4 linked regions of the Schizosaccharomyces pombe genome follow. The gene in region 3 interacts genetically with the main gene of each other region. Each region holds a gene or a part of one and is shown on either strand. Other genes may lie near its edges. The genes, in order: spc34, gef1, dbl5 and slt1.

Region 1 (4,000 bases), on a different chromosome or scaffold from region 3:
CTGATGCACATTTCCGAGTCCATCTTTTATTTTCTTTTTTCTTTTCATTCGTTAGTTGATATTACTCCAATACCCAGAGCTCGATGTCCACGATTTGGATTCGTTGGTCAGGACAGCCACGATAGCTCAAAGGATTGTTTTCGAATGCAGGAGTACGACTAGAGTAAGCGTACTCTAGAGAGCCATCAAGCCAAAGGCTGTATCTTCCATTACCCCCACCAAATGCCAAAAAGCTTTTGGTGCAATATGCAACAAAATTGGAATTTCCTACGAAAGGGTAATGTACATACTTTTTGGGAGGAAAATATTTCCACAAGAAGGTTTCCTCGGAACCAAAGTAATGAGGTGCAGGAATTAAATAATCAGGGATAAAAACTCCAAAAACATCGCCGTCTGTATCGCGCACAGCTAAAATGCAAGCCCCTTTAGGATGGCCGCTTCGAGCTTTTTCCTTTTCGCAGGCTAAGTACATTGTTTGAAGAGATGCGCCGTCATGTTGCAACGAATAGATTCGTTTCCAAGTTTCAGCAGAAGCATATCTTGCTGGCAAGTTCTCAACGATGTGACTGGCCAATTCATCTGTTATTAAGCCGTCTTTAACACTATACTGTCTTGTAAAGTTAAACATTTCAATTGATACAAAATACTTGCTAAAATTTTGTACTCTTATGGTGTGTGTAGTTAGAAAGATTAAGGTGATCCACTAGCCTTATGTAATAAGTAAACAAATAAATAATTGTGAATACAATAACAAACACTGAAATAAACAACAGTAAGTGTATTCTTTAATTTTCCAAAGAAGAAGTTTTTCTTAATAAAGGTATTCTTATTGATCCTTTTTTATTGTTTTTTTTGAGAAATCGAGTAAATAATTTTTTTGGCGTAATGTGTGATTGTTAAGGTGGAGCAGCAGCCTTGGTATTAGCAATTAAAACATTCGTTCAAATTCTATCATTCAGTAACAACAAAAAATAATTATAGTTGACGAGTCAATAGAAACACTATGAACCTGACTTTTACTCTATATTAATAATCAAATATAGAATAAATACATAGTGTTCCATTACTTGCTATCATACTATGCTATTGAACTTTTATTTATATCTTAAATAAAATCTTTTAGAACTTTTAAGAACAAGTATGTACTTATGTTTGTATAAATATTAAGAACTCATTACAACAAATGAGTCCAATGCAAAAGCTGGCGTTGAGCCAGTAATCTAATTGCCGTCTTTAACTTATCATGAACATTATTGTATTTTTCACATACTATTCTATAAATGAGAATATTACAAAAACAATGAGTTATTATGCTCCTGAGTTGTAATGTACTTAGTTTGCTAATTATCTTCGTTCAATATCTTTGCCGCTTTAGAGAATTCCTGGAGCAAACAGTCCAAAGATTCTCTTCTCTTCTCTTTATGTTTTTCATATTCTAGGTATTCATAATCCTCTAGCTCTTTTGTAGCCTTCAAAGTAACAGTAGACGAACTTGCTTTTTTCTTAGCAAGCGACATTTCAATATGCTTTTTAAAGGATGATATATCAAAACATCGACTTCTTTTTTTCCTCTTCAGCTTCATCAGTTTGTATTGGGAGTAAGCCGATCGATCATCTGACGTCGAAGGATAACTGCAATCAGAAATATCTCGGGTGCTTCTTTGAGGATGTAACTTCAAAGGAATGAGTCCATGGTCTTTTATATCCTCGCTTAAATACATTTCTTGTTCTTTGCTCAAATCCATGATAAAACAACGACCTCGCTTCTCCTTTTCTAAATGTTCACCAATACGAAAAGTCGATCTGACTACCAACGCAAATAGCCTTCCTAAGATTGTATCAGTTGCTTCACTTTTTCAATTTCTCTTTCAAGTCTTTGGATTTCAGAAGTTTCACGCTGTAGAATATTCTCCCTAGCAGACACCTGATCGGTTTGTCGTTTTTCAAGTTGCTGCAATTGCTCTTTCTGTTCCAGTAAAACGTTTTCCAAATTCTCAATTCCTGACATATGTAAGTTGTATTTCTCAACCAGAGTCTCCAAATATTCACGGCCACCTTGCATAGGATATATATCTAGTAGTTCCTCAATACAAGCAACGTAGTCTGCAGGGTTTTCTGATGCCAACCTTTCACTCCAATCCTTCGGTAGAGATTTGAACTCAGCTGCAATTAGTTCTTCCTTCTGAGTATCGCGAATTAAATCAGTTATAGCATGAGTATGTAGCACCGCGTCTGTGAAACGTGCTGCGTTTGGGTTTTCCGGTTCCAAAAGTTTTTCTGATGTAGCAGCAATAGACTGTAAATAATTCAACAAATCAGACATTTATTTAATAAGTCATCAAAAACACTAATTCGACTCGTAATTAGTAAAAGGTATGTTTCAATTCACTTTACCAGAGTTGCCAAAAGTGTATGCAATCTCTGGGTGTGTGCAGGTGGTTTAACCAAAACGTAATAAACGTTTGGTATCTTTGATATAATGGAAATCACCTGTGCCTGTTTTTGAAATTCTGTTCTCGCTCAGCAAATTATTTTAACAAAGGTAAAGCATTGCGTTCATTCCTTGCTATTTTCCTTTATTTGCTACACCGAATCATTCTTACGTTTACGCTTTAGGCACACATTTCTTCAGCTCAGATTATCCATTAATAATTATATGTAAAACTTTTATAAAGGTTAATACACGCTAAAAATTTCGTAATCCTCAGTGCAGTTTTGATGAGTTTGCAATTGTTGGACTCTACTTCGCAATCGTGATCTAATCAAAATCTACAACTTTCTAAGTCTGCCAGATTTATAGAACTAAAGGTTTGAGAATTATCCTTCTCTTAGTTCTTTTATTCATATATACCATCTATTAAAAAGTTGCCTCTTTGGAGGCTATTTGAGGTTTTTCTGACTGAACGTTTCGTCTGTTTTTCATATTCTATCAGCCAAGTTTATTCTATTTAAATATAGATTTAAAAACTTTAATTATCTTAAATAGAAGAGCAGTATATTGGGTATAACTAACAGCTTGAAGCTCTGACATCTTAAAGTGTTGTATTAATAAAAATGCTAGAACGATGTCCCTGGAAATTAATCAGCTCGCCAAGAAATATTCCAGCTCGCTCTTTTCTTAATTCTCGTGGAACTTATCTTGTTTTAAGAAAGTCAAATATATTACCTCTTCAACATATACTGCGGTTTTCCAATTTTGCATCTAAGCAATGTTTCCCACTTAGAAATGGAAATAATTCGGCTTCAAAAGCGTTATGGAATAACAAATCAAAAGAAAAAGAGCCACTGAATACTTCTGTTAAACTTGCTTCCGATGTACCAGATGATAAAAATGTAACAGGACAAATGATTGTTAAGGACATGCTTCAATATATTTGGCCCAAGGGGAAGACTAATTTGAAAGTTAGAGTTGTTTCGGCTCTCGCACTACTTGTAGCTGCCAAAATTCTTAACGTCCAAGTTCCTTTTTACTTTAAATCAATTATCGATACCATGAATACAACACTTGTTCAAGAAGTAGGAGCATTGTGGTCTACTGTAGGAGCTGTTGTTCTCGGTTATGGCTTTGCTAGAATATTTTCTACCGTTTTTCAAGAGTTAAGGAATAGCGTTTTTGCAATTGTGTCGCAAAGCGCTATTCGAAGTGTTTCTAGCAATGTCTATCAACATCTGTTGAACCTTGACATGAATTTTCATCTCTCAAAGCAAACAGGAAGTATTACTAGAGCAATGGATCGTGGTACAAAAGGTATTAGTTTCATTCTTTCCTCCATGGTGTTACACATCATTCCTATTACCCTTGAAATTGCTATGGTGAGTGGTATTCTCACTTACAAGTACGGACCTTCGTTTTCGGCCATTGCTGCTACAACCGTTGCTCTTTATGCTCTTTTTACTGTTAGGACGACATCCTGGAGAACTGTATTCCGTCGTCAAGCAAATGCTGCTGACAGTAAAGCATCAGCCGCGGCAATTGAATCTCTGATTAATTATGAAGCCG
Region 2 (6,212 bases), on a different chromosome or scaffold from region 3:
TGAGTCCCAATTGCATCGAGAACTTGCTTCAGGGCTTTCTTTTCCAATAGGTTTTAAGAATGCTACTGACGGTAACATTGGTATTGCTATAGATGCTATGAATTCTTCTGCCAACCCTCATCATTTCTTGTCTGTCACAAAGCAGGGTGTTGTAGCCATTGTTACTACTACAGGTAACCCTGATACACACATTATTTTGCGTGGTGGTAAAAGTGGGACTAACTTCGATGCTGATTCAGTGGCTGGTGCCAAGGCTAAACTCGAAGAATGCAACAAGCTACCTAGTATCATGATCGACTGTTCTCATGGAAACTCATCTAAAAACCATAAGAATCAACCCAAGGTTGCTGCTTGTATTGCTGAGCAGGTGGCAAACGGTCAGAAAGCAATTACTGGTGTCATGATCGAATCTCACCTTAACGAAGGTAAGCAAGCTATACCTGAGGATGATTTGTCAAGTATGAAATATGGAGTCAGTGTCACCGATGCTTGCATTGGTTGGGACGACACTACCGCCGTTTTTGAACAGTTGGCTGCTGCCGTCCGTTCTCGTCGTTCTCATTAACCTATAATGAAGGTTATTGAGACAGTTTTATAAAAATAAATTTTTTGGTTTCTTGTATAATAAATTTGTATTTGCCGTAATTAACAGTGTGACTTTTAAAAGGTTATTTATCGTACTTATCATTGCACTTTATCGGATGGTTCCAGACTGTTTCATCGTAAGTATTTTTATTTACGTTTTGGTTTTACTACGAATGTAAGAATTTGACCTGTTTTTGTTAGTCAACTAGGATAAATAACGACGAACAAAATTAATTCAATCAAAACCTAATTACATATTTTAAACATAAAACATAGTTAAAGTGAAAGTCAAATATTATATACATTATTAAAGCATATAAATGAAAAGTGGAAGCGTATGAACAAATAAAATGGCATAACAGCAGAAAAGCCAAAACGTTCCTAGTTTAAAAAAAAAAAGTGAAAAGACAATAATTAATAGCTCGACTTGAGCAGACAAAAATAATGAGATGCATAAAAGGAAGGCGTAAAAGCGTTTAGAATCCTAATTTGAAACTAAACTTAACAGGCCTCTGTGATAGACAAAAAAAGACCGTTAAAAGAACCTAAACGAATTGTAATCAGACAAACGCAGATATTAGGTTAAATAAATGTAATTGTGATGTTAAATACATGGAAGCTGCAAAAAACCATGGTCCAGAGAAACGTTTTCATCATTCAAGTAACATGAATGCAGTATATCTAAATGTGTATATATATAGAACAGATAAAAAATATTCGACTAAAGAAGTTGCTCTTAAACCCTCGCAGCTAAAGAGACACTTTTCATTAATTCCTCCAGCAATACCTCGTCATCATAATGCATGGGTTCAAAGGCTCGAACTAACTCTGCATAATCTTGCGTTTCTTCTAAGATGCTATCCCTCATGTCTTGAGGGATAAGAAACAAGAAACCTTGAGCGTAGTTTTCATAGAGAGAGCGTTGAATACCAATAAAATGATAAACAACACTGTGAAATTCCTTCTCAACAAGAGTAGAAATTGCCTCAAGCTTTTGAGCAGGAATCACAAATTCAGCGCTGATAATGAACTGAATAACTTTTTGAATCACTCGTAGGATATTTGTGATTGGGTTAAGGATAGAAGAATTTAAAGACGTTTGTATTTGAGAAGGAAGGTTAGCAGTCATCATGTGCGCAAGTAAATGATACTTACGCCACGTATCTACCGGCTTGTCTTCGGGCTCTAAAGCACTAAGCCCTTCAAGCTCTGCTAAAACCTTTTCAAAAACCGAAAATCCACGATGTACAGTAACGTACCACGTTTCCAATGTAGCATGTAAGGCTTTTAATATAGCGAATCGTTGTCGAAAATCTTGAAGCACTTGGCGTTGAAAATTCAATCGAGCATCAGTTTTTAACTCAGTAGATGTAGTGGTGGGCCTAGATTTATTCGATGTTGCTTTATAGAGTAAACTCCAAGCAGCGTCTCGTTTATGAGAAGCACTTAACGACCCACGCTTATGAGAAGGCTTCTGCTTCTGGTTTATACCAGATATTAACTCCTGTAATAGTTGATAAGAAAGGACCAAATCTGGGCGCTCAGAACTACTTTCAGGAGTAACATCAATGATTTTTTGCAATAATAGGGGGTACTTGAGTAAGCGCTGTAAAGGTTTAATTATTAAACTACCCAAATCCCAGGCGTTCGTGTATTTTTGAACTATTTTATCACCCTCCATAATCCAGGATGCAGTTGCAGGTTTCTCTCTCCATTTAGTGATAATTTTGAAAACCGAATCTTGACGGTTGCAATAACCAGTATAAATTTGACCGATTTCAGAAAGGCTTTCTAAAAAAATAAGACCTAAATTGCAAGGAAGAGGATCTATAAGCTGGGTATCCAAGTTTACACGCCAGGAGCCTTCACCAGCTTGATAAAGTCGACTATGGAATTCCACAGTAAAAGTTAATAAAGACTCTATATCGCCAAAAACTGTTTGGGCGTCAACTGGATTCAATGCACTGCATTCTTTGACCCGCAAGCCATAACTTTGTTGAATCGCAATGAGATCGTTTAAATAGGCAGCTTCAGTAGTAACCAGCTCTTTAATCAAATTTGCACGCTTTTTAATACGCTTATATTCTGGATTGATAGAACTGGCTTCAGACATAGCAAGAGATTCCTTTGATAAACGCTTACCTGGTGTGCTCGGTAAAGAAGTAGTGGCATACGAAATTGTTCGGCTGAGAGACTCATCAGTTTCCAAGGCCAAAATAGTAGAGTCCAACTTAGTAGAAAAAGAAGTAGTATCAAGAGGTGAAAGGAGGGACGCTGTAGACGAATGAGAGGAAGGCATACTTGCCAAAGTCACACTGGAACGCTTTTCTTGTTCATCCGTAGAGCTACCAGGTAGATACGCCGAAGTCCTGTTACTGCTAGTTTCAGAGGAATTCTGTGCCATAAAAGACCCTAGGCCGCTAACTCTTCGTGAAGTTCCATTGCTACTCGTGTTTGTATGTATTTTTCGAAGTGTTGTAGGACAGTTATATGATGGGGAACTAGGCAACGAAGGCAAAGTATATCGGCTAGACTGAGCATAATCTTGACGATTGCGGTCCCCATAAATACGATTAGGGGTTAAAGTAGAACTATTAGAGGCTGTAGAATCCCCATTTAATGAGTGGCTCATGTTGGAGTTTGGCAAATTGAAGGAGCCCTCCGAAAAGAATCTTCGGTGCTGAGACGATACGGGAGGAGTGTTTGGAGTTTGGGGATCTTGTAAAGCACGAGCAAAGCTTGCTCGAGACCTCCTTCCACTACTCAACCTGTATTCACTCTGTGATTCTGAAACATCGCCATCAGTGTCGTCTGATTGTCGGTAAGAAAGCGAATAACTGTTAGAAGGAAGGCTTAAATTGATAGATTTTCGTTTAATACATGCAGCTCGATGAAGCTTGCTTGTTCCAGGCAATCTTGGTAAATCCCTGTTTGCCAAGGTTTCAAAGTACTCAGGCTGATCAACATTGTTAACACATATACACACATTCAAATCAAGTATAAGGACATACGGAATCGGACATATCCGAAAGATCTGCTTTTAAAGTCTCCATATTGAAAACATTTGGAGAACAATAAAATGAATGACAATTTTGGAAATTTTGTTTACATGAATTTTATTAGGTAACGTTGTTGGTAAAGCACAGGTTTTGGAGATTTGGCGCCAACTTCTTCTTAATCCACTTTCAATACCTTCCACTTCCTTATCTTCATTACCAATGCATAACGTAATCACCCACGAAAAATAGTTTGCCAAAAATAGGCTTGGCTCAGCTTTTTGAGCGCCAACCGCGGACAGAGGCAGTTTACCTTTGTACTTGGTTTACAAATGGTTGCTTGCACAGGTACATAGTAATATGACTTGAGTATTCGATTTTGTGATAAACATTTACGTATTTACAATTTGTAATATAAGGTTAAATTTATTCATGTCTCCCTTTATGAAATTCTAGAAATGACAGCAGTTAAAATAAATTCCACTGTTACGGTTACAAGTTAATAAATTTGTTATTTCATTGTTTTAATTAGCTTAAATATTTAGAGCGGTTTTGTTTTCTTGGTAATGCACGTAATTTGCTTTGTTTTTTTTTTTTTTTTTTTTTTTTTTTTAATAAGTAATAAACATTAAAGATGTATATAAACAGAAATGAGAGAGAAGCGGCAGTTGATTGTCTTACATAACTTTGGTAAACACTGTATAATTTTAAAAGAAAATTTTTATTTTTTTTAATAATTACTTGAGGCTAATACGCTGCATTTTCTGTCTGTAGTACTTTTTTTCATATATTCAAAAAATCACGATATCTAATACTAAGTGTGTATGATAAACAGACCTAGTCAAAATTCCTAAATATTCTACGGTGTTCACTAAAAACAAATATAATGTTTCAGTAAATTAAACTAAAAATACTATTAATCGACAGGCCATAAGAAAAATATATATTGTAAAAAAAATGGAAACTTCCATTATATCTATTAAGATTTCTTCTAATTTCAAAAAGGAAGTGTTATTAAATCCTTTAACTTGTAACTTCGTTAGCGTCCGACATAGCTAATCATGCTTATAAATGGTTTGTTAAAATGCAAATGAGTAACATCATTAAAAATGATAGAATTAAGAAAAAAAGAGCATTAGTGTCATATAACTTGCAGCAGGAAGATTTAGAAAATATATAACAACATGTAAAGCTAGATAGCAAGGTTTTCAATTAGAGTCTTCAAAACTGGACACCAGCGCACACAATTAGTTACAACACCGGCACACATAATTTCTACAATAAATGCCTTCGCCTCACTAATGTTTCCTGTCAACGCCAAGCGACATGTTTGCGATAATTTTTGTAGCCAAAAGCCTTCCATGTTTTCTAGTTGACCTTGTAATAGTAAATTCGTTTTGACTCGTTCACCCAACATCTTATGAACAGAATCACTAAGATTTGATTTACTTTCTATAATTTGCAATAGGGAGTGCCTGACATCTTCACAAGAAGCTTCGTTCATACAATCGTTTGTTGTATCGTTAAACGTGGTAAAGATATCATTGTCACTGCTTTTCTTCATCAAGTTGAGAGGATTACTGCTAATTTGAGGAACAGAGATATTCGTGGGAGGAACAGATATACTCCTGTTCATAATTTTTGAAGGTGAAAAAGGAGGAAGTGGTGATTTACTAAGTACTTGACCAGCTAACGGTTTGGGTGCCAGCATGTCATCACCATAAACCAAACGTCTACTCGAAGCCGATTTCTTTAAACTTGATGTGGAAGACGTTCGTTGAGTTTGACTTAAAAAGATACCAGAAGAAGGATCGTTCCAGTGCACCTCAATTTTCCCAGTTTGATGTGAAGTCATGTTGTGTTGACGCAAATAATGTTGTTCTATGTTTAGTTTGTTTAAACGAACGAAATAAATAAGAATCTTTCTATCTCGACCAAAGAAACTGGCTGGTGTATTCCTTTATAGCAGTTCAAGAAGGTTTGTGGTAGTGGATAAGAAGAGACGAATGCAACATTGCCATATATCACATGTTCAATAAGGTGATTTCAGCAGCGGAACTATTAAAAACAACGGTAGTAGGAAAAAATGGTAAGGTTATTATAATAAGGATAAATATAAGTACTTAGAGCATCAAAGTTCGTAGCTGACGAATAATATCGACATTTTGGTGTAGTAAAAATTACCTACTCAGTTTTTACAATAGCGCTGAATGTGCAACGTACGGGAATATCATAATTAATACAATAATGGATTTCAAATAATAAAGGTCAGCATATTGCAATGGCTCCGATGTTTGAATAATTATCCATTCGAGCGATAGAAGTAATTAACATTTAATATCCGTAGAAGCTCAACTACCATCTAAAGCCTGAAAAACTTAATCAACGACCTTCTATTTAAAATCCGTTTATTACCTGAAGCAGCTTTTTTACAAAACAAACAACAAATTCATCATATTACTCATATGAAATAAACTGACACTACAATCTTACATAATTATAATCTACACATTAAGTACAATAATTAAAATTTCACAAAACAAAATTAACCACTATGCAATCAAACAAACTTCTTTATTAGGCAGATAGAAGCGGCTATGAAGAAATCCCATTTAGAAATGTATAGAAGAG
Region 3 (5,353 bases):
TGTATCAACATGGGTACTCACAAGTTGCACAAGACTGCTCAATGGCGTGTATCCATGGGTATTAACTTGCTTTGGGGTATTATCATGTTCATCGGTATTTCTTTCCTTCCTGAATCCCCTCGTTATTTGATTGCTATTGGTAAAGATGAAGAGGCTCTTGACATTATGTGCAAAAACAACGTTCTTCCTCGTGAACACGAAATTATTCAAACGGAATACCATGTCATTAAAACTGACTGTGAAGCTGAAATGGCCGGTGGTCCCGCTACTTGGGGTGACATTCTAGGTGCGGATATTCGTTATCGTACCTTCCTTGGTCTTGGTGTCATGTCTCTTCAACAACTTACCGGTGATAACTACTACTTCTACTATGGTTTCGAGGTGTTTGAGGGTACTGGTATGAACTCTCCTTATCTTTCTGCTTTGATTCTTGATGCCGTTAACTTTGGATGTACGTTTGGTGGTCTTTTCGTCCTAGAGTTCTTTGGTCGTCGTATGCCATTGATTATTGGTGGTGTTTGGCAATCCATTACTTTCTTCATTTACGCAGCTGTTGGTAATCGTGCTCTTACTCGTAAGAATGGTACCTCAAACCATCGTGCCGGTGCCGTTATGATTGTGTTCTCATGTCTTTTCATTTTCAGTTTTGCTCAAACTTGGGGTCCTGCCGCATACGTTATCGTTGGTGAATCGTATCCCATTCGTTATCGTTCCAAGTGTGCTGCCGTCGCTACCACTGGTAACTGGTTGTGGGGTTTCCTTATTACTTTCTTTACTCCCTTCATTAGTGACTCCATTGGATTCAAGTATGGTTATATTTTCGCTGCCTGTAATTTGTGTGCTGCTTGTATTATTTTCTTGTTTGCCCATGAAACCAAAGGTCTTACCTTGGAAGAGATTAACGAACTGTATCTCTCCGGCGCTAAGCCCTGGATGCCTAGGCCCGAGAATCTCGGACAAGCTGCAAAGCAACAACAAGAGGTTCTTGAAAAATCTCGTGGTGTTCAAGGTGAAAGTGCCGCTCATCTTGAAAACGTTGACAATGAGGGTATGGAGGATACTTCGAGTAACGACATTACATCTTCTACCTCTTCTTCTGAAGGCCGTGCTAAGCCTGAGTCTAACTATGTTGATGAACAAGATCGCTACGCATAAGTTTGTTGACCGAAAATGGCAATGCTTTCGGTTTACACGAATCGGTAGTTTTTAAATGTTATTTCTTTTTAATGAGTATGTGTTTTTTGCTGATTCATCCTTCATTAAAATCGAATTGTATAATTGGATTTTGGCTGTGCCAACTTTGAGAGTTATTTTTTATTTGCATTTCCTTTGTCGTTGTTATTCAAACTGTTCCGTCCTTTCTGTTAGAGATATTAATATTAAGTTGGTGTGCATGCTTTTTAACTGGTAATGTTTTTATGAGTGGCCCGGTCCTTATTACTATGGAAAGGCGTTGATGAGGAACTGGCAGGGATTGCATTATAATTTTAATAATAATGTAAACAGATAATTTAGTTAAATGCTGATAGTTTTTTCGTTAAGGATTAACAAAAATTAAACAGTTCCTTATTTCTAATGTGCTATTACATATCGTTTTGTGTATTGCGAATTGTAGACATTGAGTAGAAAGGTATGCTGAACAGTAAATAAGCGTAGTATCTAATTGTTGATATGTTATTTAATCCTTGAATGTTTTTGAATAGCATTCGTTCAATTTATTTACCTGGTTAGAACGATGCAAAAAAAGGTTTCCGGTAAGTAATCAACGATATTTACGAGTTAAGTCGGGAGACGTTCAATTCTACTTAGAGTGAAACATTGAAAGCTATGGTTGAAAATATTATACTTAAAACTATACGTGAAATGCCATCGGTGCGTATCTGTGAATAATCCTCATAAAAATCCAAGCTACAAGAAAACGCTATTAGCCATGCTTGTTGAACGCAATCGCATTTTGTAACGTTAAATAAATTTACATATGCCCGAGATTACACTGACTACAAGTCACTAAATGATATTTATGATAATACCAGAAGAATTTGATAATGCAGTTGTAAACCGCTGCATTGCAATACGCAGAGTATTTGCCATCTACAAGAAATATATAAAGTACAAATCAATGGTTGATTTGCTTTGAAGAATTTGCATATAATTCGTTTTTTTAAAGGATTTTATTTAAACTTATTATTTTGATAAAGCTTTCTCTCCGGATTAGAAACGTTAGAGCTCACATACCAAGTTCAATAGTAATTTATCTGTCTGGGCGCAATGGTTAAACGCAGTTCTCATCGCCAAGTAGTTTTGGATGAAGACGATGAAGAAAATTATAATAATAACTTGGACGATGAGAAAATGGAGGTTCTATTAATTCCACAATCCAACAGCACAACTTTTGCGTCTAGTGATGCAACTCAAATGTACAAAAAGTCTCGCATTAGCAGTAATTCAGAAAATAAAAAACAAATCCCCGATACAAAAACTTTGCTCGAAACGTTCCAGAAAATAAAAAAAACTCTGGAATGTCCCATTTGCACAGAAGCTTTACAAAGACCTTTTACCACTCATTGCGGTCATACATATTGTTACGAGGTAAGTGAAAATTTGATGCTTAACACTGGAATAACTTTTCATTATCATTGAATTCCCTCATTGTGAGTGAAATATTGAAAGAGCAAGATTATATCTTTAAAAGTTTCTAGATTTACTTTTTTTCTATAAAGGATTGAAACTAATAAATAGTGTCTTCTAAATTGGTTAAAAGAGTCAAAATCTTGCCCAACTTGTCGCCAAAAACTGTATACACAACCTTCACCAGCATATCTTGTATATGAAATAATGAATGTGGTTGCTGCCTCAAACAGTGGCTTCCCACTTGTGGGAATCAATGAAAATCCAGCAAAGAAGCAAAAGGAGGTATTGTTTGATGGGATGTTTAAACAAGAAGATTCTCATTACCCAAGAAGTATCCTTGTTGATTCTGAAGATGGAGTTTTACGATGCGCTCGTTGCCAATGGGAATTGGAAAATCCGTACCATTGCGATCATTGCGGTTTTCAAATATCGGATGACCAAGATTCTGGTCGTGAATGGTTTTGGGATGGAGAAAATGCTGAGAGTGATTCCAGCCTAAATGGCGATAACACCCGTGGTGGGAATATCTCGACTAACCGCGCATTTAATAATATGGGACATGCGCCAATAACTGCAGTACCACAAGATTGGCTGAGATTTGACGAAGGAGAAGAATTTGTGGGGTCTGATTTAGAATCTGATTTTTCTGGTCCAGGTGAGTACGATGTTGATGATGGATTTATAGATAATCGTGCTACAAGCCAATTATCTCCTGTCGAAAGTGACGATGACTTCGTAGCTCCTGTCAATGGAAGTAATGGAAATGGTATTACTGCTTTGGATAGCACAGATAGTGAAGAGATTGATATTATGAACGGCTTCGATGAAGAGCGCGACTCTGGAGGGACGAATATGGTATCTCGATCTGAGACCTGTTATAACGATGGGCAAAGATACGATGAGTTACGAAGAGAGCTTGCTGACATTCAGAATGAAAGTTTGGATTCTCTCAATTCTTCCTCAAATAATTCTCCTTCTCATAACAATATTCATTCCAGGCAACATCCATTCTCATCAGATGAGGATGAAGGAAATATTGTAACTAATGGAACAGGCCTCCGTAGTTCACAATCATCCAGCCAGAATAGAGGATTTGATCTTGAACCCTATTCCGAGGTATTCACTGCAAGCTATCCACGTCGGCAAGCTCGGCGAACTCGTACAATACAACTAGACTCTGACGAAGAATCATAATTACTCAACTCTAACGAAGAAAAAATTATACCGAGAAATCAAGTAACCTTAACCTGGTCTATGGTTTCTGTTCATGATGAATGATTTAATTGTGATTTGGATTTTGGGTCTCTAGAGCATAAGACACTAAAATTTAGCATACATGTCGGATTTATGACTAAAAAAAAAAATTCAATACTAATGATATTTGTGCATGTTTGTTTTGTCTTATAATTATACCTGCCATTTAACCTCCTAGTTGATACAATTAGTTTTAAATATTATAAAAAAAATGCTAAATATTGTTTTACCGTGTAACGTTGAGACGAATACAACTTCGTCACCTTCTTCGAGGTTATATTCTTCCTTTTCAAGAAGTTCCCAATCCTGGTCATTTACTAAGACGATGATCCCCGGACGTCTGCAGGGAAGTGTTAGTTCTGCAAAATCATTTAAAACATCGTTTGAGCCTGAAAAAGATGATACCACTCCATGTTCACTTACACAGTCCCATTTAAAATAAATAAATCTTTTTGAGAAGGCTTTTCTATTATTTGAGCCATATAATCAATCAATGATCCCAACTTAGTTGAGCCAAGGTTTGAAAGTGACAACGACAACGCTTTCTGCTTATTGAAGAGCAAGTCAAGCCCACCTCTACAATAATAGGTTACCAATTGTAATAAAATATGACACCTACAGTAACTCTACTTTTATAGCCATTGTTTTTTAAAACTTTGGGGATTCGTGAAAGCAACGCAAAATGTACGTTCTAACTGTATATTCCACTGTAGTTGTTAAAGAGTGATAGAAATTCAGTGTCATGTCAGCTACGCAGTTTGGTATCTGTTTAGCGTGTTTTATGACTCACTACGTTATGTATCATTATATGTCACACGCTAACCACCGTATTATGAATACCCGTTGATAACAACTGCTGACTCGATTCCTCAGTTTAGTTATTAGATATATTGGTATTCGATACTATTAGACTTCTTATAACAATAAATATAATATTGTTAGTTAACAGGGCGCATACCGCTATATTGAAATTACTAAAAACCTCACCGCAGTTCTACGTATCCGTAAATCAGATACCAAACTGCGTAGCTTACATTTAAGGAAAGCTAAGTTGGGGTGAATAAAAAAGGCAGTGACAAAATAAATGTGTCAGAAGCAATCCACTGCCTCGTTCAGTTTTTTCGTTCTTCTTTTTTTATGCCATTGTTTGAAGGAATTAGTTGGAAATTTGTTTGAACAATTTTATTATTTTGTTAAAAAGTCTTTAAAGTGGTTGGAATTGGACTACAGAGTGAATATTCTTGATTTCGCTGTTTCGTTTGTCGCAATCACAACAATTGAACTATTTGTGTGTATATCATTCAATAATAGATTGTTTCTAAGAAATGAAGAATAAAGATTATCCCTTGAGGTCGTCTATGGATGAATTGAGTACAAAAAACGATAATGAAATTGATTTGGAAAAAGGTCCTCTCCCAGAATACAATTCAGAAGATGGGAGCACATTGCCTCCATATTCAGGTAAGTG
Region 4 (4,765 bases), on a different chromosome or scaffold from region 3:
AGCCGTGCCAATGAACTTGATCGTCTTTTACGTGAGTGCAACTTTCCATCAATTTGCATTCACGGTGGTCTTCCTCAGGAAGAGCGTATTAAGCGTTATAAGGCCTTCAAAGACTTCGACAAGCGTATTTGCGTTGCTACTGATGTTTTTGGCCGTGGTATTGATATTGAGCGCGTCAACATTGTAATTAACTATGACATGCCTGATTCCCCTGATAGTTATCTTCATCGTGTCGGTCGTGCAGGTCGTTTCGGTACAAAAGGTTTGGCCATTACATTTTCTAGTTCAGAAGAAGACTCTCAAATTTTGGACAAAATTCAGGAACGTTTTGAGGTTAACATTACTGAGCTTCCTGATGAAATTGATGTTGGCTCATACATGAATGCATAAAATGTATATAGAAAACCAATACCTGTACCTGTTTTCAGTTTTGCTATGCAACGATGCATAATTAGTGTTGTCTTTCTATTCTTCAAGTTGAGGTTTAGAAGTATTCCAATCCTACTAAATATATTATCAAACTTATTCCAAATACGCCTTCCTTTTACAGATCCTTACATTAAAAAAGGTTTAACTTTTTATTACACGTTTACGTACCAAAGCAAACAATAGTGCTTTTCCACTCCTTTCTTATTTCCTTTTATTTTTGGGGACTATTGTTTTCTTGAAAGCCTTTCTTTTTAAAATATTCACGGTGAAAATATCCTTAGTTAAGTAAGTAAAAAGATACTGTAGTTTAAAGAGAGAAAGGAAATTGAGCGATATGATTTCTACAATCCTAAAAATGAGCTTTCTCAATCTGTAATTACGTTGCTTGTTATAAATGATATAGGAAATGTTCAATGCATTGAAAATTTTTTATCTAAATTATCGTATATCCAGTCATAAGTGATTACGTGAATGTTGGTCATTAGATATGTGCAAAAATGGATTCGTCTGAAAGTAGATTTGTTGGTAGTTAGGAAGGAAAATTTTATCTTTTAATAAACAAATATAATATTTATCATGCATCCTCGTCAGGGACCTCTTCAACAGTAACATTATGTCGTAAAGATGCTTGAGAAGATGGTCTTTTCGGAGATGCAGAATCATTAGAGTCAACATTAGATTTAGGTTCATTAAATGAGCCTTGCTCATGATTGTTGCTTCCTTCACTCTTTACATCAGTTTCAGCGCCTTTAGGAGAGGCCGAAAAGGTCTCATTAGAGAAATGTTCAGCAACAGGAGGTGAAGGTTGTTTTGAGCTGTCAGTTAATTTCTCTCCCGCCTTCGTGTCTATGGGCTCTTCAACTGTTTGGGTAGAATGAATAGGTAACGTCCCGTCATCGGGATCACGAACAGATTCAACGTCCTCATCACTACTTACCACTGAATATTGACCAGTCGATAACAATGCCTCTAGTGGGTTTCTAAACGTAGTAGGTTCGTCTTCAGGTTCAATGACTTCTGGGTCAGGATTCAAAGCACCTTTCGACATCTGTGCGAAAGATGTGGATGGGCTCTCACGAGCAGTTAAGTCAATATGTTTTCTAGCATTTCCACGTTTGTTAGAGCGGCGTTGAGCAGCCAATAAATAATCGTTCAATTCGGCCAACTCGGTGCGAGAAAGCTCCTCATCAGAAACACTAGCTTGAGAAGACGTTTTGCTTCTATTTGGTAGCGTATTAAGCTCAGCAACGTCTGGGCCACTTTGTTGTTCAGGTGCATTGTCGTTTTGAATAAATATGCGAAATGGTTGAGATTGTTGAGCACCTGCGTACTCTGATGTAGAGTATGGGCCAGTTTGTTGGTCAGCGACTTCAGCTTGGGATTCCGAAGACTCTTCAGGAGAATATATTGTGTCTACGACTGGATGATGAATAAACATTTGCTGGAAATTATTTGGCACTACAAGCTGCATATTGGGTGAATCGGAGACAAGTATTCTGCGTAGCAACTTTCGAGCCGCCTTTTCCCTGCGATGAGCTCTTTCACGCTCCTCATCCTCAAATCGCTTTCTGATTATAGTCCGTACAACATTTTCAAAAGCTCTACGCTCTTGCAGTTGCTCCAAATAATACTCTTGCAAACGAGCCTCTTGTTCCCGTTCATGCAAGTATTGACGGAATTTTCGATGTTGAATTTGCTGGAGCACTTCTTGCCTTGCATCCTCAATTGCCTTCTTTCGCAAAGCCAATTGTTCTTCTTGGCGTTGAATCACTTCGATTTGTTGATTCAGCTCTTCTAAGGCCATTTGAAGGCTGTGGTCTTGCACATTTTGATATTCATTACCATGTACATCTATAAGATGAAATAAAGTCGCCATTATGCTACGATTCTCTTCCTAGTATTTTTTTTCAGAACGATATGTCAAGGAAGATGGTGTGTTGAAGAAGAATGAGCGAACCGCGATGTTTACTCATTTATGTCATACTATGGTGTTGGCACCGGAATGTACCGGAATCATCCATTTCATCCATGAACACTCCAGCAACACCTGGAAGTAGTAAATCAATAAAAACGTTAAAATTGCCTTAATTAGTCTGATCAATTAATTTTTTTTAATTTGTAAGCACCATTTCGTTCTTCGTGCTGAATAATCAATATATGTCTTTTTTAACAGAATCAAGCGATTTGCAGAGGAAGACGAAGACGACAATTGACAATAAATGTATTATATAAAACATATCTTTGACATCCTTTCACAATTTCAAGCATCTGTACTTCGTGAAATGGTGCATGTATGTGGTCGATAACTGTTTTCTTTTCTTTTTCATTGTACGACTTATCCACGTAAAATGATGGGATAATAGAAGTTTGTTGTTGCTATCCAGTAACTAGTAGTAAAAAAAAGTTGCATAGCTTGCATGTAGCTAAGCTACACATTTCTTCAATGGAGTGGTGACTTTCCTACGTTATTAAAAGCTTAGTTTCAATGGATTAAAGATCACTAGCAGACAAGAATGTAAACAAAAGAAAAAAGAAAATTCGTATTGCGTGATTAATTACATATATAACACTCGAAAAGTATATCATTTTTTTTGGAGCATTTCGCGGAGATGTTTCTCTCAAGCAAGGTAAATGTATTCATCGCGGCCTTGGCGTTCCAGGTACTCTTTTTCGATTAACATATCTATACATTGCTTAATATCAGACACTTTAGGAGTAAATCTGCTTTTAATTTGATCAATAGTCTCTTTCACTAACACTACATGTTTCAATGTTCGGCGAGCCTTCATGATACGGACGATAGCGGATTGAAGCAGTAACTTTCGATCTTCTTCTATAGTTTTATGAGTCTCCAGAGATTCCTGCTTTTGCTCAGATCTAATTGGGAGATTTAACTGTACCCGTATCTTTTTCATCCTAAAATTTTCATTGATCTTATATGTGCTATTAGGATCACCAAGCTTGTCATTGTCGCCAAGGAGAAGCACCTTTGCTTTTAGGAATATGTTCAGAATCCCTGTCAAGAAATCTGTACTTAACCCAGTTATTTTTGCCAGCTCCTCATATGTATAAGAATCGCGATGGTTGTACAAAAGCAAAACACCCATTTGATATGTAGAAACTTGAAACACATAAGTGACATTAGTTTGAGGGTTAATGCGTGCCTTTATTTCTCCTTTAGAGAGATGGAACAACCAGCTTAACTTCCTTCCGTTATGGCAGCTATAGTAATAGTTTTGGAATCCTTCATACAAAGGAACTAATTCCTCTGGCAGATGAAAGTTCACATTGTTGGGAGATAGAGGCCAAAACGATGTACCAAGTACAAGAGCAGAGAAATCTATATTTCCAGCACGTGACTGAGGGAGTTGCCAAAACGCTTCGGTAATCTCTTGAGACAAGGAGATGTCTTGAAACATACGCTGTAGCTTACTAGTATATTCAAAACCGCAGACTTCCTTTAACTTAGATAGCATGCTAGATTCAGCATCCTGGGAATTAGAGGTACCATTCACAAGTCGCTTGGCTAAAAGCTTAGTATAAAAGTTTTGAAAAACATCCTTGTCTTCGACATAACGAAAAATAATGATAATCGACGATAAACAGTCTTCAACATCATCAATGTCAACATTCTTGTTGCTTTTTCGCAAAATACTGTCGGCGTATTTAGCAAGCAACTCTGGGGAGCGAGAGGAAGAGCGCTGGCAAACAACATTTCGATTGACAAGTTCTCTAAAGGCTGTATCCAATGACTTTGTAAAATCAGTATCCCCATGAAATGCGGTGTTAACAAGTTCTTTGGAAGCTTTATACGTGGAAAGTAACATTTCCATATACTCTTTAGGATCCACATCGGCTTCTCCACCGACCTGGGGAACAATTTTGGCAACCGCAGCAAAGCCTGATCTCTTGACAAACTCCTCAAATGTCTGGCGTAAAGGCTGCAACCCATTAGGTGTTCGAGACATCAATCGGTACATGCGAATGATATCCTCACTGCAGTTTTGGTCGAGCATGCGTGCAAAGTCGTTGTGCAAAACTTCTTCATGTTGTGCAATTAGTACATCTTCAGTCGCTTCTAAAAGCGGCTTCAATGTGGATTCATGCAAATATAATCTCACAAGCTCTTCCTCCTCTGCTAGTCTTATTTCTGCCTTTTTTAAGTAATCCGTAATAGAATGGGAAGCCAAGTATTCGGAAGACTCCTTTGCATAAAAGTTTTTTGTATTTTCAATAAAGTTTGTTTCGAAAAAAGTTTTGTATGAGCTCAAGTTAGGCTTTGTCATATCGGTTTTATCAAAGCTCAATGAAGTGATAGAATCCACACAAACTTCCA

What was found.
Region 1: mutations in dbl5 (region 3) and spc34 together harm fitness more than expected from each alone (negative genetic interaction), as found in Schizosaccharomyces pombe (one large-scale study listed by BioGRID).
Region 2: mutations in dbl5 (region 3) and gef1 together harm fitness more than expected from each alone (negative genetic interaction), as found in Schizosaccharomyces pombe (one large-scale study listed by BioGRID).
Region 4: mutations in dbl5 (region 3) and slt1 together harm fitness more than expected from each alone (negative genetic interaction), as found in Schizosaccharomyces pombe (one large-scale study listed by BioGRID).

The regions. Positions count from the first base shown.
Region 1 is NC_003424.3:3,672,472-3,676,471, forward strand, and holds spc34 (DASH complex subunit Spc34), read right to left. Parts: upstream 2,424-4,000; 5' UTR 2,324-2,423; coding exon 1,829-2,323; 3' UTR 1,228-1,828; downstream 1-1,227. Other genes in the region: V-type ATPase inhibitor and disassembly protein in response to oxidative stress Oxr1, read right to left, coding at 62-628; ABC family Fe transporter Atm1, read left to right, coding at 3,055-4,000. UniProt on the Schizosaccharomyces pombe protein: Component of the DASH complex that connects microtubules with kinetochores and couples microtubule depolymerisation to chromosome movement; it is involved in retrieving kinetochores to the spindle poles before their re-orientation on the spindle in early mitosis and allows microtubule depolymerization to pull chromosomes apart and resist detachment during anaphase.
Region 2 is NC_003424.3:469,262-475,473, forward strand, and holds gef1 (RhoGEF for Cdc42 (Gef1)), read right to left. Parts: upstream 3,730-6,212; 5' UTR 3,639-3,729; coding exon 3,597-3,638; intron 3,542-3,596; coding exon 1,322-3,541; 3' UTR 720-1,321; downstream 1-719. Other genes in the region: SPOM_SPAC24H6.10C (phospho-2-dehydro-3-deoxyheptonate aldolase), read left to right, coding at 1-565; SPOM_SPAC24H6.08 (uncharacterized protein), read right to left, coding at 4,774-5,436. UniProt on the Schizosaccharomyces pombe protein: Has a role in the control of cell polarity and cytokinesis. Involved in bipolar growth, via modulation of cdc42-shk1-orb6 signaling, and septum formation. Stimulates guanine nucleotide exchange of cdc42.
Region 3 is NC_003421.2:222,559-227,911, reverse strand, and holds dbl5 (ubiquitin-protein ligase E3 Dbl5), read left to right. Parts: upstream 1-2,093; 5' UTR 2,094-2,268; coding exon 2,269-2,589; exon of another isoform or gene 2,590-2,739; coding exon 2,740-3,825; 3' UTR 3,826-4,051; coding exon of another isoform or gene 4,052-4,059; 3' UTR 4,060-4,115; coding exon of another isoform or gene 4,116-4,225; 3' UTR 4,226-4,308; coding exon of another isoform or gene 4,309-4,461; 3' UTR 4,462-4,504; coding exon of another isoform or gene 4,505-4,527; 3' UTR 4,528-4,559; downstream 4,560-5,353. Other genes in the region: hexose transporter Ght8, read left to right, coding at 1-1,155; ubiquitin-like protein modifier Urm1, read right to left, coding at 4,052-4,059, 4,116-4,225, 4,309-4,461, 4,505-4,527; wtf meiotic drive antidote Wtf4, read left to right, coding at 5,211-5,346.
Region 4 is NC_003424.3:3,613,166-3,617,930, reverse strand, and holds slt1 (protein slt1), read right to left. Parts: upstream 2,369-4,765; 5' UTR 2,306-2,368; coding exon 1,004-2,305; 3' UTR 831-1,003; downstream 1-830. Other genes in the region: TREX complex subunit, ATP-dependent RNA helicase Uap56, read left to right, coding at 1-390; cul1 (cullin 1), read right to left, coding at 3,048-4,765.